3 linked regions of the Oryzias latipes genome follow. The protein of the gene in region 2 purifies or fractionates together with the protein of the main gene of each other region. This does not show direct contact. Links are inferred from orthologs where the notes say so. Each region holds a gene or a part of one and is shown on either strand. Other genes may lie near its edges.

Region 1 (3,752 bases), on a different chromosome or scaffold from region 2:
ACACGACGAAATGTGAAAAACTGATACACACTTTGTGTTGAAGAGTGCCGCTTTGATGGCGACAGAGATGGCGTCGTACAGGTTGCCGTCACACTGCAGCAGCTGCAAACAAGACGATGCAAACGCCTTTATGAAGTGGTGGTTTTTACAAATCATTTGAGGCCTTTGAGGTGAAGCTCCGCCCCTTCTCAGGCCGCATTTCTTCTAACTGGCTGACTGACTAAGTAGACCTCACTTCCTCATTACACATCAGCTGCCTTTCAACTCATTTAGTGTTTCTTGAGTCCGACAAACCTCCTCCATGAAAAACAAACTGCATCCACTGCAGGCCGGTATGACTATTTGGGGTTTAAGGAACAAAAAATAAAATAAAATACATATTTCTTGATACTTTCACAAGTTGAAGTGCTACTATGGAGTTACATCAGTGTCTCTTAATTATTTTACCCAACTATGAAGAAATGACGCTTAAAATTAGAAAGAAAAAAAAACAACAGCATATAATTATGAAACTAGAATAAAAAAACTATAAACCTACAGTGAAAATGAAATAAAATTAATGTTTATTAGAAACTGGTATGTTTTTGTTAGTTAAACAAACGAAAAAACCAAAACTTCACTATATAAAACGGCAGCTGCTACAAATGAAGATCATTTTTTATTTGGTAACATTTGTAAGTTTATAGTTTTTTTAGTTTAAGTTTTAAATCTACAATCTTTGTATCCAATTTTCTGTATTTCTTCAAGTTTAGAATGTATAATTTCAAGTTTAACACCATTTCAAAACATTCTTCTTTTTCTTTTTTCAAGTTTACAACCTTATTTTTTCTTAATTTTAACCTGATTTGACCCCATCTGCTACCCCTCAGCAGCACAGCAGACATACTTCAGCATTTCATTTTTAATGCATACAAGGTAAACAAAACACTTGCTTAACTTTATTTAAAAAAAAAATCTAAATGCAGCAACAAGTTTTTCCTAAACAAACAAAAAACATGTAAATGTCTACTTCAACCTGTTTTTTTAACCCAATTTTTTACCCAAAATTCTAAAAAACTTAAAAATCATAAGATTTAGCATTATTACTGAATTTACGTCTATTGTTGTTGTGTTTATTGTTTTATTTTTAACATTTTTATGTTGTGTTTATATTTTTATGTTAAAGAGACTCACCAGGACATCTACATAGAGAACCCAGCAGTGCTCCCCAGCACTGATGCAGAGGCCCTTCAGGTCTATGCTGTTCTTGTTGTTGAAGACTCTGTAGAGAGTGTTGCTCAGCTCGATCCCTAGCTCCTCACCTCCTCTGCCTTCAAACTCGGGGGTGGCGTTGGCAGAGCTGGGGGTGTTGGGGAAAAAAATGTCAGGGAATCAAAAAAAAACATCAAACATTGACAATAACTCAGTTTGGTTCCGATTCTTAAACCAGAACAGCCCGGCATGGTCCTCATGAACACCCTCTACGTCTTAAAGCTGAATACCTGGATCAGGTGAGTTCAGCCAATCGGAATGAGGAGTTACAGAATCAGAAGAAAGCGGAGAGAAGTGGGGAAAACTGAGTCAATGGTGCAACAGTTAATCCCAGCAGTTATTAGTTTAGGAGTTTATTATCCTGCAAGATGATTTAAACAAAAACAGATATCCAAAATAAACTTTATTTTTAAAACATCCTCATTACTTTAAAATGCTTCGCAGGACAAAGACATCCTTCAAACTTCAAAAACAAACACAAAAAATATTTAAACATGCATTATAAGCTTTAGAACATGTAATGATCTCAACAAAAACATCAAGAGAGACTTCCCAACTTAGCCAAAAAGAAATCAAATATGTAACGGTTTAGGGTTCAGGTATTTCTAATATTTATATCAAGCCAAAAATGCAAACATTATTCATTTTAATAAACTATAGAGGCTATTCAATGTTTTTCTTTACTGTTTTGATGCAATACAATTCTGTCAAATGTCAAATTGTGCACATTTTGATGTCCAAACCTGCTTTAAATGCACACTAAACCTACCAATCAACAAAGAACTCCAGGTATCCTTCATCTGGAACCAGTGGTCTTGGTTTTCCTATTTCTGCTTTAATCCCAACCAGGACGGCGGTGTGTCCCTGAGAAGCACGATGGAAGGAAAATAAAGACACTGTTTCTGCGGATCTTTCACACGTAAATGTTGATTTTACCAGGGAGACTCTGGCAGATCCATCAGTGTTTGAGACCACATCCGTCTCCACTTCCATGTGTCGGTAGTCCTCACAGCTTCTTCCATCCACACGTAAATCATCCTGAGGAGAATACAAACATCCACATCTTTAGGTTGGTGTGACAACTTCACAGACATTTAGCTTAATAGAGCACACATTTCTAGAACAACTCACTCTTATTCCGTGTAGAATGTACACCTTTTCAGCCTCGCTAACTTTAACTGTTGCCATGTTAACTCAACAAACAGAAGAAGAAGAAACGGTGCCGGGAGGCTCTTCTTCTACAGTTTTCTCGATGAAGGAACTATGTCGCCACCACCTGGAAGAAGTGGGAGCTGCTGTTCAACATCACAAAATTTAATAATAATAATAATAATAATAATAATAATAATAATAATAATAATAATAATAATAATAATAATAATAATACAAAAACAATAATAATAATAAAATAATGACAATAATAATACATTTTTGAGAGTAATCTTTTTTTTCTTCTGTGTAGGAATGTAGATGCTTGTGCTATGTTTGTCCATATCATAAAGAGTATATAGACAGTTTTAAAATATATTTCTATTTAATTATATTCAGATTTTTTTATATTTATAAATGCACATATACAAAACAAGTTAGGGTGAACAATCGTTATAAATGCGCATATTGAAAAAACAAAACAAAATTTAAAAAATATGATAAAGGCAAGGCAAAAAACAATTCAAAATAACAGTACGTTTGATATATTTTGATAAATTACTGTAGTTTTCTTGTTTTTGTTTGGAATGCATTTAAGACACTTATAATAATCAGAAAAGTAATTCAAAAAATACCAAACAAAGGGCATGTAGTTTTCCATTTACATAAATGAATGAAATTTTTGCATTAAATAATAACAACATTAATGACATCAGAAATTCCTGGGTCCATATTTTCCATATAGAAAATAACAACAGATAAGGAAAAAAGGGAATATTTAAAACTTTGAGTGACAACCAATTGTGAATATCAGTCCAAAATATTTTTATCTGTAACTGTAACAGAGATGTTCTAACGTTTCAGTTTCAGATTAACAGAATAGGCATGGCTCCGATTGAAATTTGAATCTTTTATGTAAAAAAATCTCCAACAGGGTAAATTTGAGATATTATTTTAAAATGCGTTTCTTTCATTTTAGGTGGAAGTGGGTACTTTGTGTATAAAGAAAAAAATGTGTTCATTAGGGTGGTTTCTAAGTCCCGTCTATTGTTTATACTAAAGTTGCAGAAAGTTATTTGTTTAAAGGTTAGAGTTACTAATTTATTGGTGCATTTTTTTTTCATCTTTTAGGGGAATATCATTAATTTTCAGATCTGTAAATTGTGGTTTGATTGCATTGTATTGTAGTATGTATTGTCAGAAATATGATTATTTGGGTGTTTTTTGGAAGTACTTGTAAAAAAAATAAAATGATTTTAAATGGAAGAAAAATTGCCCTGCGTTTTGGCCAAAGGGGTGGATTTAATTTTAGACCATAATCTGATTGGTCAGTTTACAGGAAGTCCTTCCCG
Region 2 (3,752 bases):
ACCATTTTATTACATGATTTATCAATATCCGGTTTCTAGCTTTTATCAGACAGAATTAAGAATCTTGAAATATCAGTAAAGCACATGACAAAGATGAATTACTTAATTGTAATGTAAAAATAACTATTTTAGAAATCAACAGAATATTCAACACTTTGCAAAATGTTTGGCATATCAGTGAAAAGCCGTAAACGGTTGAAGAGTAACGGTAGTTGAAAGAATCTGTTATTTAGATGTGACTGGCAACATCTCCAGTGTTAAAGGGTTCACTTGTAGAGGCTCCCACTGGGTAACGTCACTAAGCTACACTTCATGACGTTAGGATGTAGACTTCCACAGCTTCTCCCAGTGTGGCCTACATCCCATTGACAAACCTCTTAAATATATTAGTGATGTCATAGAATGGACGACAGCTAATTTTCTCAAACTCAACAAGGACCAAACAGAAACTGATCCTTGGGCCTGAAGCCACACTCACTTCAAAACTCTGGTATAAATGTAGGAAGATCTTAACTTTAAAATCCACATATCAAACACAACTAAGACTGCTTGTATTCCTTTAACAATGTTGCCTTTTATCATATCTAGACGGGACTTTTGTGATGCTCTTTTAATCTATGAATAGATTCCAGCTCGTCCAGAATTCAGAGCTCACATCCCTCCTGGCTTCCTGTCAGCCTCTGGATGATTTGAAGATTCTCCTTCTAGTTTATAAATGTCTTTTTGGATTGGGACCTTCCTATTTATCAGATCTAGGTCCTTCCAAAACCTCCACAACTCTCAGATCCTCAGGTTCTGCTCTCTTATCTAAACGAAAAACTGAGGACCAGGACCCACATTGAGGCCTCATTTCAGTACCGTGGTCCTCATCTGTGGAACCTGAAGATCTGAGAGTTTCTGCATCTGTGGAGAGTTTCACTGTAAATGTTCATGTAAATTCTCAAAAACGTCTTCATTTAATTCAATTATTTATTTGGGTCTAAAGTATTTCATGGCTTATATTGTTAATCGTTTGTACTTTTATTACTCTCTTTATAGAGCGCCTTCTCAACAATAACTAGTAGCCACAGTTTTCTACCATCTTATGTTCACCTCTTGATTGTTGCTGGTTTTATGACTTTTTATAATTTCAACCTGTTTGTTTTTTATGTCAAACACCTTGTGTTCTAAGCACGTTGAAGAAAGACGCTCCACAAATGAAGTGTTTGATGGATTGAGCCAAATGAGTTCTTTATCATCAGCTTAACTACCCGAGGATGGAGTAGAGTTTAGACCACTACAGAGCAGATTCCATTCTCTTCCTGCGGCTGTGTAGCCACGCCCCCAAAGCTTATATGATCGACATGAAGCGGGTCGACGTTTTAGACCCGGTTCCAGTCCTGGCACCAGTCAGGCTCTGGATCCAGAACTGGAACCGATCTGTTGAGCAAAGAGCAACCCTATCAAATAACATCTGAGGAGGACAGGAGGAAGAGGAAGTGTACCTCAGAGCCATCTCCTCATCTGTGATGTCTGTCTGCATGCAGCTCACATCCTTCTCCTCTTCATCTTCATCTTTTGGATTCAACAAGGTCATCAGTTTCTGTGAGGACAACTGACAGGTCAGAGCACACATGCACACGCACGTGCGCATGCACACGCACGTGCGCACGCACACGGTTGTAGGTTGAACCTCACCTCAACCTCTGGGTTAAAGCCTCTGAAGGAGATCCGGCCAAACTGCAAGTCCTCACAGGGAGTGAAGCTCTCCTCCTCCACCAGCACAGTCCTGATGAAGGAGCAGAGGTCACCATCATCCACACCTACAGGTGTTCACACCACTGCAGGCGAGGCGTGCACGAGCACAGACACGTACTCTTTGGTGCAGAGCTCGGGCAGGTCCAGATACCAATGCTCGTCGCTGATGATCCTCCTCTCGTCTTCCTCCAGCTGCTTCTTCGTCTCTGCATCCAGCCCTCTCTGCATGAACTGCAGCCACAGATGACACTTTCATGCATACGCCTACGTGCACGCTCTCATCTGCAGTACAGTATACCTCACGAGAGTCAGTCCACCCAGGTGATCACGTGTCTTAAAGGTTTACAATGCAACTATGTGAAACCGAGCACCAAACTAAATCTAACCCACCTGTGGTTCGTCATTCTTAACCTATTAACTAGTTATGACCACCTTTCAGTCGAAAGCAGACCAACCAAAACAGTCAAGCCCCAAACTATGCCCAGCTCTGACAAATTCAACCAGAAAGATCCTTGAATGGAGATAAGACAGGCCCCTGCCGAAGGATGAAGAACAAGAGGCAGAATTATGGACACGAACATCAGTTCTGGTCCATTTCTCTCACTCTGGAGCCAACAAAATGAATCGACGCTAGCGGCTCGCGCCGCAGCTAGCTAATGGTGCTAGCATGTACCTTCATGCGCAGCAGATTCTTGGAGAGTTTCACTCCGTCGGCAGCCATCTTTCTCCGGTTAACACAAACAGACTATCCGCGCTAAACTAACCTTAACTGATTCAACCTAACCGTAGGACGTCGTTGGTTTGGTTACTGCAGCAGAACAAACGCCCCACGCGCCGGAAAAGACATGTTGTCAAAAGTCGAGCATGCGCAATTCAGGCAGGCCTGATTAATCAAGCACCGAGGAATCGAGGCTTTTCCTTAAGTTATGTATTTATCCTACAGGTAATTTTTGATCACAGAACAGTGAAGTGCAAGCTAAAGAACAGGTGAATCAACGGAAATGCGTTTGATGTGTAGTTTACAACAAAATAAACACAACACATTATAGATAAACAGTAATAAACACGACAGTCAACAAAACCCAACGGGTCACGTGGCAAACATTCCAAAAACTTTATTTGTAAGTCGCTTTACAACAATCGCTGATTGTACCGAAGTAGCCTACATTTTGTAAAAACATAATTGAAAATTAATTTAAAAGATAAGCATGTCATATCATAAGACGAAAGATAAAACACAGGTCAATAATTTATTTTTATTTTTTTCTGTTTTGACTTAAAAAGAGAGACGTGGAACTCTAGAAAACCTTTAGTTAAAAGTACCATAGTACACTTGAAGTTTATTTTAGTAAGATACTTGTATATGCATTGAGCAAATCTACTATAGGCCTAGTAGTGTAGGAAGTATGCTAACTGTATCCTTCGTCAGACTTATTTGGAACATCTTAAGTTTACAATAAAGCATAGAGGTGGTACAAAAAATGTCAACTTCAACAGTGACATGTGATCAGATGAGGCAAGTGAAGCTCGGCCTCACTGGTCAATGTGATAAAATAGAAAAACGTACACTAAGTAAATATGATTTTCCTCTGATCCGTATTAAAGACACATTTTCAGTTGACTCGACACATTTCCCACAGTTTCTGAGGTTAAATTTGCAGAATTTGACTGTTGTGCGCTCACATAGGGAGCAGAAACTCCGGGTGAGGCTCTGGAGCGCTTCGCGTCATGTCTGACTGCAGGACTCAGTTGTAACAGAGAGTACGGTCAGAGCGATGACTGTAAGGGCGGAGAAAAAGCTTCCAGGGAGGCGAGCCTCGCCAGCGTTTGAAAATGAATAACAATAGATGGGTTATTTTCACCATAAACATTTGCTAAACTTCCCTGCCAAACGTGTTATGGATATGTCACAGAGGCGGCCATTTTGCAATAAGCAATACAGTAAAAGCCATTCTGCTGCCCCTAGTGGAATGATGATGAACTGCAGGGTAAAAGACATGGAAAGTTTGTATCAT
Region 3 (3,752 bases), on a different chromosome or scaffold from region 2:
GTCAACAGCGGAGCTCTTTTTGCAGTTTACATTTATTTTCAAGATGGAGCCAGCACAATTACAATCTTCTCATTTTAAGAAGGCATTGGAGCCAGGATCGTCTGTACCCACTGTGGTGGAATGGGGATGTGTATGTGCTGGGGCCGCGCGAGCACGTGTGTGTGTGTGTAAGAGAGAGGAGAGAGCACGTGCAGCGCAGCATTCCCTACTGCGCTGTGCGCATTCATGTTGTGTGTTACGGAGGAAGGACAACGATAATAAAAAAAGGCTGCTATTGACTCTTTATTAAACTGCTCTAGAGAATCTGAGGGTCCGAACGGGGAAATGAACGCCCAAAGGAGGATCCGCCTTCGGTCCCCCGCGCTTCTGACCACGGTCAGAAAGGGGAAAAAAAAGTAATTGCCAGGAAGGTTCAACCCCACGCTCGGCCATTTCGCTGGAATTTTTTTCAAAAAACCGCCCGGTTGCGATAAGAGCCCTCGAGTTTGGCCTGAATAGAGCTGTCACCCCAAATTTTAATCCAATCGGTGACCTTGCTTGCCTTCCAATGACTGGTCTCACCAGCATCGTCCGGCATGGTTGATGTTCATGTTCTTGTTCCCGCCTACTTCAACGCAGAATAATGACTTACGGGTCGGATACATGTGGCTTGGCCATTCAGACGGAGGTCGCATTTGAAAAGATCTGATCTGTGTCGCTCAGACTGTCATAAAAAGATCAGACACAGGTCGCATAGGGGCAGAAAAATTGGATTCAGCCTGCAGTGTGAACATGGCCAGAAACACAAATTTATTCAACATGTATAACAACAACAGGGAAACAGCTCTGTAAAATTTACCAAAAGGAGATATCAACATAGTAACACTGTGCACTTACTTTTCCATATTTTAAACTGCGAGTATGTAATGACAAGGCTCCATCTGAAAAAACAGACTGCACTTCTGCCTAAAAACAGTGAGAAAATACAGCAAAGTAGTCTTTAGTGACAAAAACTATGAGGGGGAAATGTTGGCAAAAAGACTAGAAAATCCTCTGTACACTTATGAGATCACCCTCCTGAAGATATTCTCTCATGGTCAGCTCATCTTCTGCTGATCTCCTCCTCTGTATAACAAAACAACAACAAAAAAGAGCATGCAGTTCAACTCATCCTGTAACGCTTCTCTCTCGTTAAACAACACAGTTCTGTCTCACCAGCTCTCCTCCAGGCAAGTTTACTGATGACAGCAAGAGGACAGAGTCCAGTCTGGAATTGGTTTCCACCTTCCAACGTTTCTGCTGCACCTGTATATAACCATCAAATCAAACAGATTGAAAAGATTATTAGCAAAAACAGATACAATGAATCCAACAACAAAAAAAATTGTTATCTCGTTTTGCCTTTTTAGAGAACAGTTGGAATAACTCACCTCTGTAATTCTGCCGACCACAACGTCTCCAACCTCGCCATTAAATCTAAAATGACGCACAAATGATCTTAAAGAATGTTTGCAAAAGTGGGGCTAGTCCGATCTGAATGGGTCAATCCACCAACCAATTCTATTGTTCATAAACATTGAAGATTTTTGTCCTTCACACTCACCTGGTCTTCAGTGGTCTGACACAGATGAGTTTGTCCACCCTCTGCACCTCTCCAGCAACTGAAGCTGTCAGCTTTTCTTCATCAACATAAGTGCCATGCCCCCTAGAAAACGACAAATTGTAGTTATGGTTTATTAAAATCATGTAAAGATGTAATTTCTTATCCTTCATCAGTATTCCATCAGATCAAAGACACATCTAAATAAGTTCTGGTGTGTTCTGAGTTTCTTTTTAGCATGTAGCTTACCGTACTACATCAGCGTGGTATCAAACACGTGTTCCAAAACGCAAGCAGAACCTACCTCATAAAACCTGTGTCCGAAGTGATGATGTCTCCGGGAACAACGAGATCCTTTCGGTCGAAAGCGGAAGCTGACAGAGACACCGTTTTCCTCACAGTCGGTAATCTCATATCAAGAGCCATGCTGTTACCGCAACTCTTCTGGTTATGGCTTCTTTCACACTCGTTTAAGTCAGATTTAAGTTTAAAAATGCAAAAAAAAATGGTGTACGTAGTTATTGAATCTTTGTTTTTGTTTTTAAATTAACAAATGATTACCCTATAAACTTGTAATAAATGCCAACCAAACAGCATATTATGCTAACACAAAACTTTCCTCCACTTGCTTCTTTGGCGTCTTAAAAGCGTGTTATAGCTACATTAGCACCTCCTTGTGGTATGGAGTTACTACTACAGTGTATCTTGTGCAGCACATCTTGAAATAATATCCATCCTCACAAATATTTATTTTTTATTCCAAATTAGAAAAAAATTCCGTTCTTTTTCATGCAGTTTGGCACCAAATTATTGTCCATTAATGTCACATTTGGTCTTCGATAAAAAGAAATCAGCTGAGTTCTGTTTCTTTTTTCGTATACTGTAACTTTATCATGTTGCTCACATTGCTATTTGCATGAGGTCATATTTATTTATTTAATTAAATATTTATTTATTTAATTATGAACAGTATGGGACTCCATATTTCTATTCTTTCTTTTTTTCATTAAAGAAATTAATGAAACTCCATGACAATACATTCTTTCTGGATGTCTTCTCACTTGACCACTAGGTGTCACCCTCGTGTCACGCAGCAGCCATTGTCACATAACAGAGTGGTGACGTTGGATGTCAACATTAAGCAAATTTCGTGCGGCTGACCAATCAGCGTTAAGATGGATAGACTCTTTGTAAAGATGGCGACAGTGAGGCTCAGTGGAGTAAAAACTGGACGCTTATCTCTTAATGAACACCACTGGTCCAGACAGCGTAACAACTGACAAAGCTCGGGGAGCAAAGCGGATTGGCCAGCATACTGGTACAGCGGGCACAATTTAGCGTTGCACGGTGTCGCGACGGGCCTCGCCGCTTTTGTTTTCGGGGACACCGCGCACCGCTCGCTAGCTTTAAGTTTGAAAATCCAATGCTAGCCCGGGGCTAGCCGTGGAGCTCAGTCGGCTGCTTTGGTATTTCTGTATGGAATCTGTGGATTAAACCTGCCCAGCGCCATCACCGGGCTCTTTAGTAGTGTTTTTGTCTCGACGAAAGCACTATGAGTCGCCCGTAGAGGCAACTACCGAGGATCTGGATTGCTGCGCTGCCTGCTCGAACTAAAGAGCGCCGTCATGTATTTTCTAACCGGTTGGCCCCGGAGGTTGCTTTGTCCGCTGAGGAGCGAAGAGGAGCCTTTCCAGATCCAGCCCAGCTCTCAGAGGTTTTACTTCGCCCTGGTGTCAGAAACCCAGATCAGCATCTGGTTCAGCCGGGTAAGTCGTGAAGTGAAGTGAACGCACGCGCTGCTCCAGCTGTCCCTGCACGAACACAATCAGGGGAGGTTCATTTAGTTTCTTTAGTTTATGCAGTCACTGTACGATCTTTATTAAAATAGTGACTCTGTGTAGGGGTCTTTTGATGATTTTGTTTTAAGTTTGTCTCTTTACGACCTGATGGTCAAACTTTACGACAAGCCGAAGCGTGTTTCGGTTTCCCCAGGTGTGTCGGCAAATACCTGTCCATCTATCGTGACGCTGACAGCTGACGACTGTTACACGTCAATACTCTTTGAGTAGGCCACATCACGTGGGGTTATTACGCACAGCCAGCAGAGCTATGTTCATCCTACAGAATTTTTTAAAAATATTTGTTAGTTTTTCATTGGATTACACCTGTTTCT

Evidence for each region.
Region 1: the proteins of mphosph6 (region 2) and exosc7 purify together in Homo sapiens (affinity purification with mass spectrometry; 4 studies listed by BioGRID and IntAct, counting the BioPlex papers as one, with this or other methods). This does not show direct contact. The link is inferred for Oryzias latipes from reciprocal best matches to the Homo sapiens genes MPHOSPH6 and EXOSC7.
Region 3: the proteins of mphosph6 (region 2) and exosc2 purify together in Homo sapiens (affinity purification with mass spectrometry; 8 studies listed by BioGRID and IntAct, with this or other methods). This does not show direct contact. The link is inferred for Oryzias latipes from reciprocal best matches to the Homo sapiens genes MPHOSPH6 and EXOSC2.

Annotation. Positions count from the first base shown.
Region 1 is NC_019869.2:5,728,167-5,731,918, forward strand, and holds the start of exosc7 (exosome complex component RRP42), read right to left. Parts: upstream 2,522-3,752; 5' UTR 2,440-2,521; coding exon 2,383-2,439; intron 2,290-2,382; coding exon 2,188-2,289; intron 2,116-2,187; coding exon 2,021-2,115; intron 1,340-2,020; coding exon 1,174-1,339; intron 103-1,173; coding exon 32-102; intron 1-31. UniProt on the Homo sapiens protein: Non-catalytic component of the RNA exosome complex which has 3'->5' exoribonuclease activity and participates in a multitude of cellular RNA processing and degradation events.
Region 2 is NC_019864.2:5,685,344-5,689,095, reverse strand, and holds the start of mphosph6 (M-phase phosphoprotein 6), read right to left. Parts: upstream 2,644-3,752; 5' UTR 2,459-2,643; coding exon 2,411-2,458; intron 2,370-2,410; exon of another isoform or gene 2,128-2,369; intron 2,020-2,127; exon of another isoform or gene 1,969-2,019; coding exon 1,856-1,968; intron 1,769-1,855; coding exon 1,678-1,768; intron 1,583-1,677; coding exon 1,485-1,582; intron 1-1,484. UniProt on the Homo sapiens protein: RNA-binding protein that associates with the RNA exosome complex. Involved in the 3'-processing of the 7S pre-RNA to the mature 5.8S rRNA and play a role in recruiting the RNA exosome complex to pre-rRNA; this function may include C1D.
Region 3 is NC_019870.2:12,830,612-12,834,363, forward strand, and holds the start of exosc2 (exosome complex component RRP4), read right to left. Parts: upstream 2,245-3,752; 5' UTR 2,006-2,244; coding exon 1,884-2,005; intron 1,685-1,883; coding exon 1,583-1,684; intron 1,456-1,582; coding exon 1,410-1,455; intron 1,285-1,409; coding exon 1,195-1,284; intron 1,105-1,194; coding exon 1,039-1,104; intron 946-1,038; coding exon 877-945; intron 1-876. Other genes in the region: ric1 (RAB6A-GEF complex partner protein 1), read left to right, coding at 3,205-3,345. UniProt on the Homo sapiens protein: Non-catalytic component of the RNA exosome complex which has 3'->5' exoribonuclease activity and participates in a multitude of cellular RNA processing and degradation events.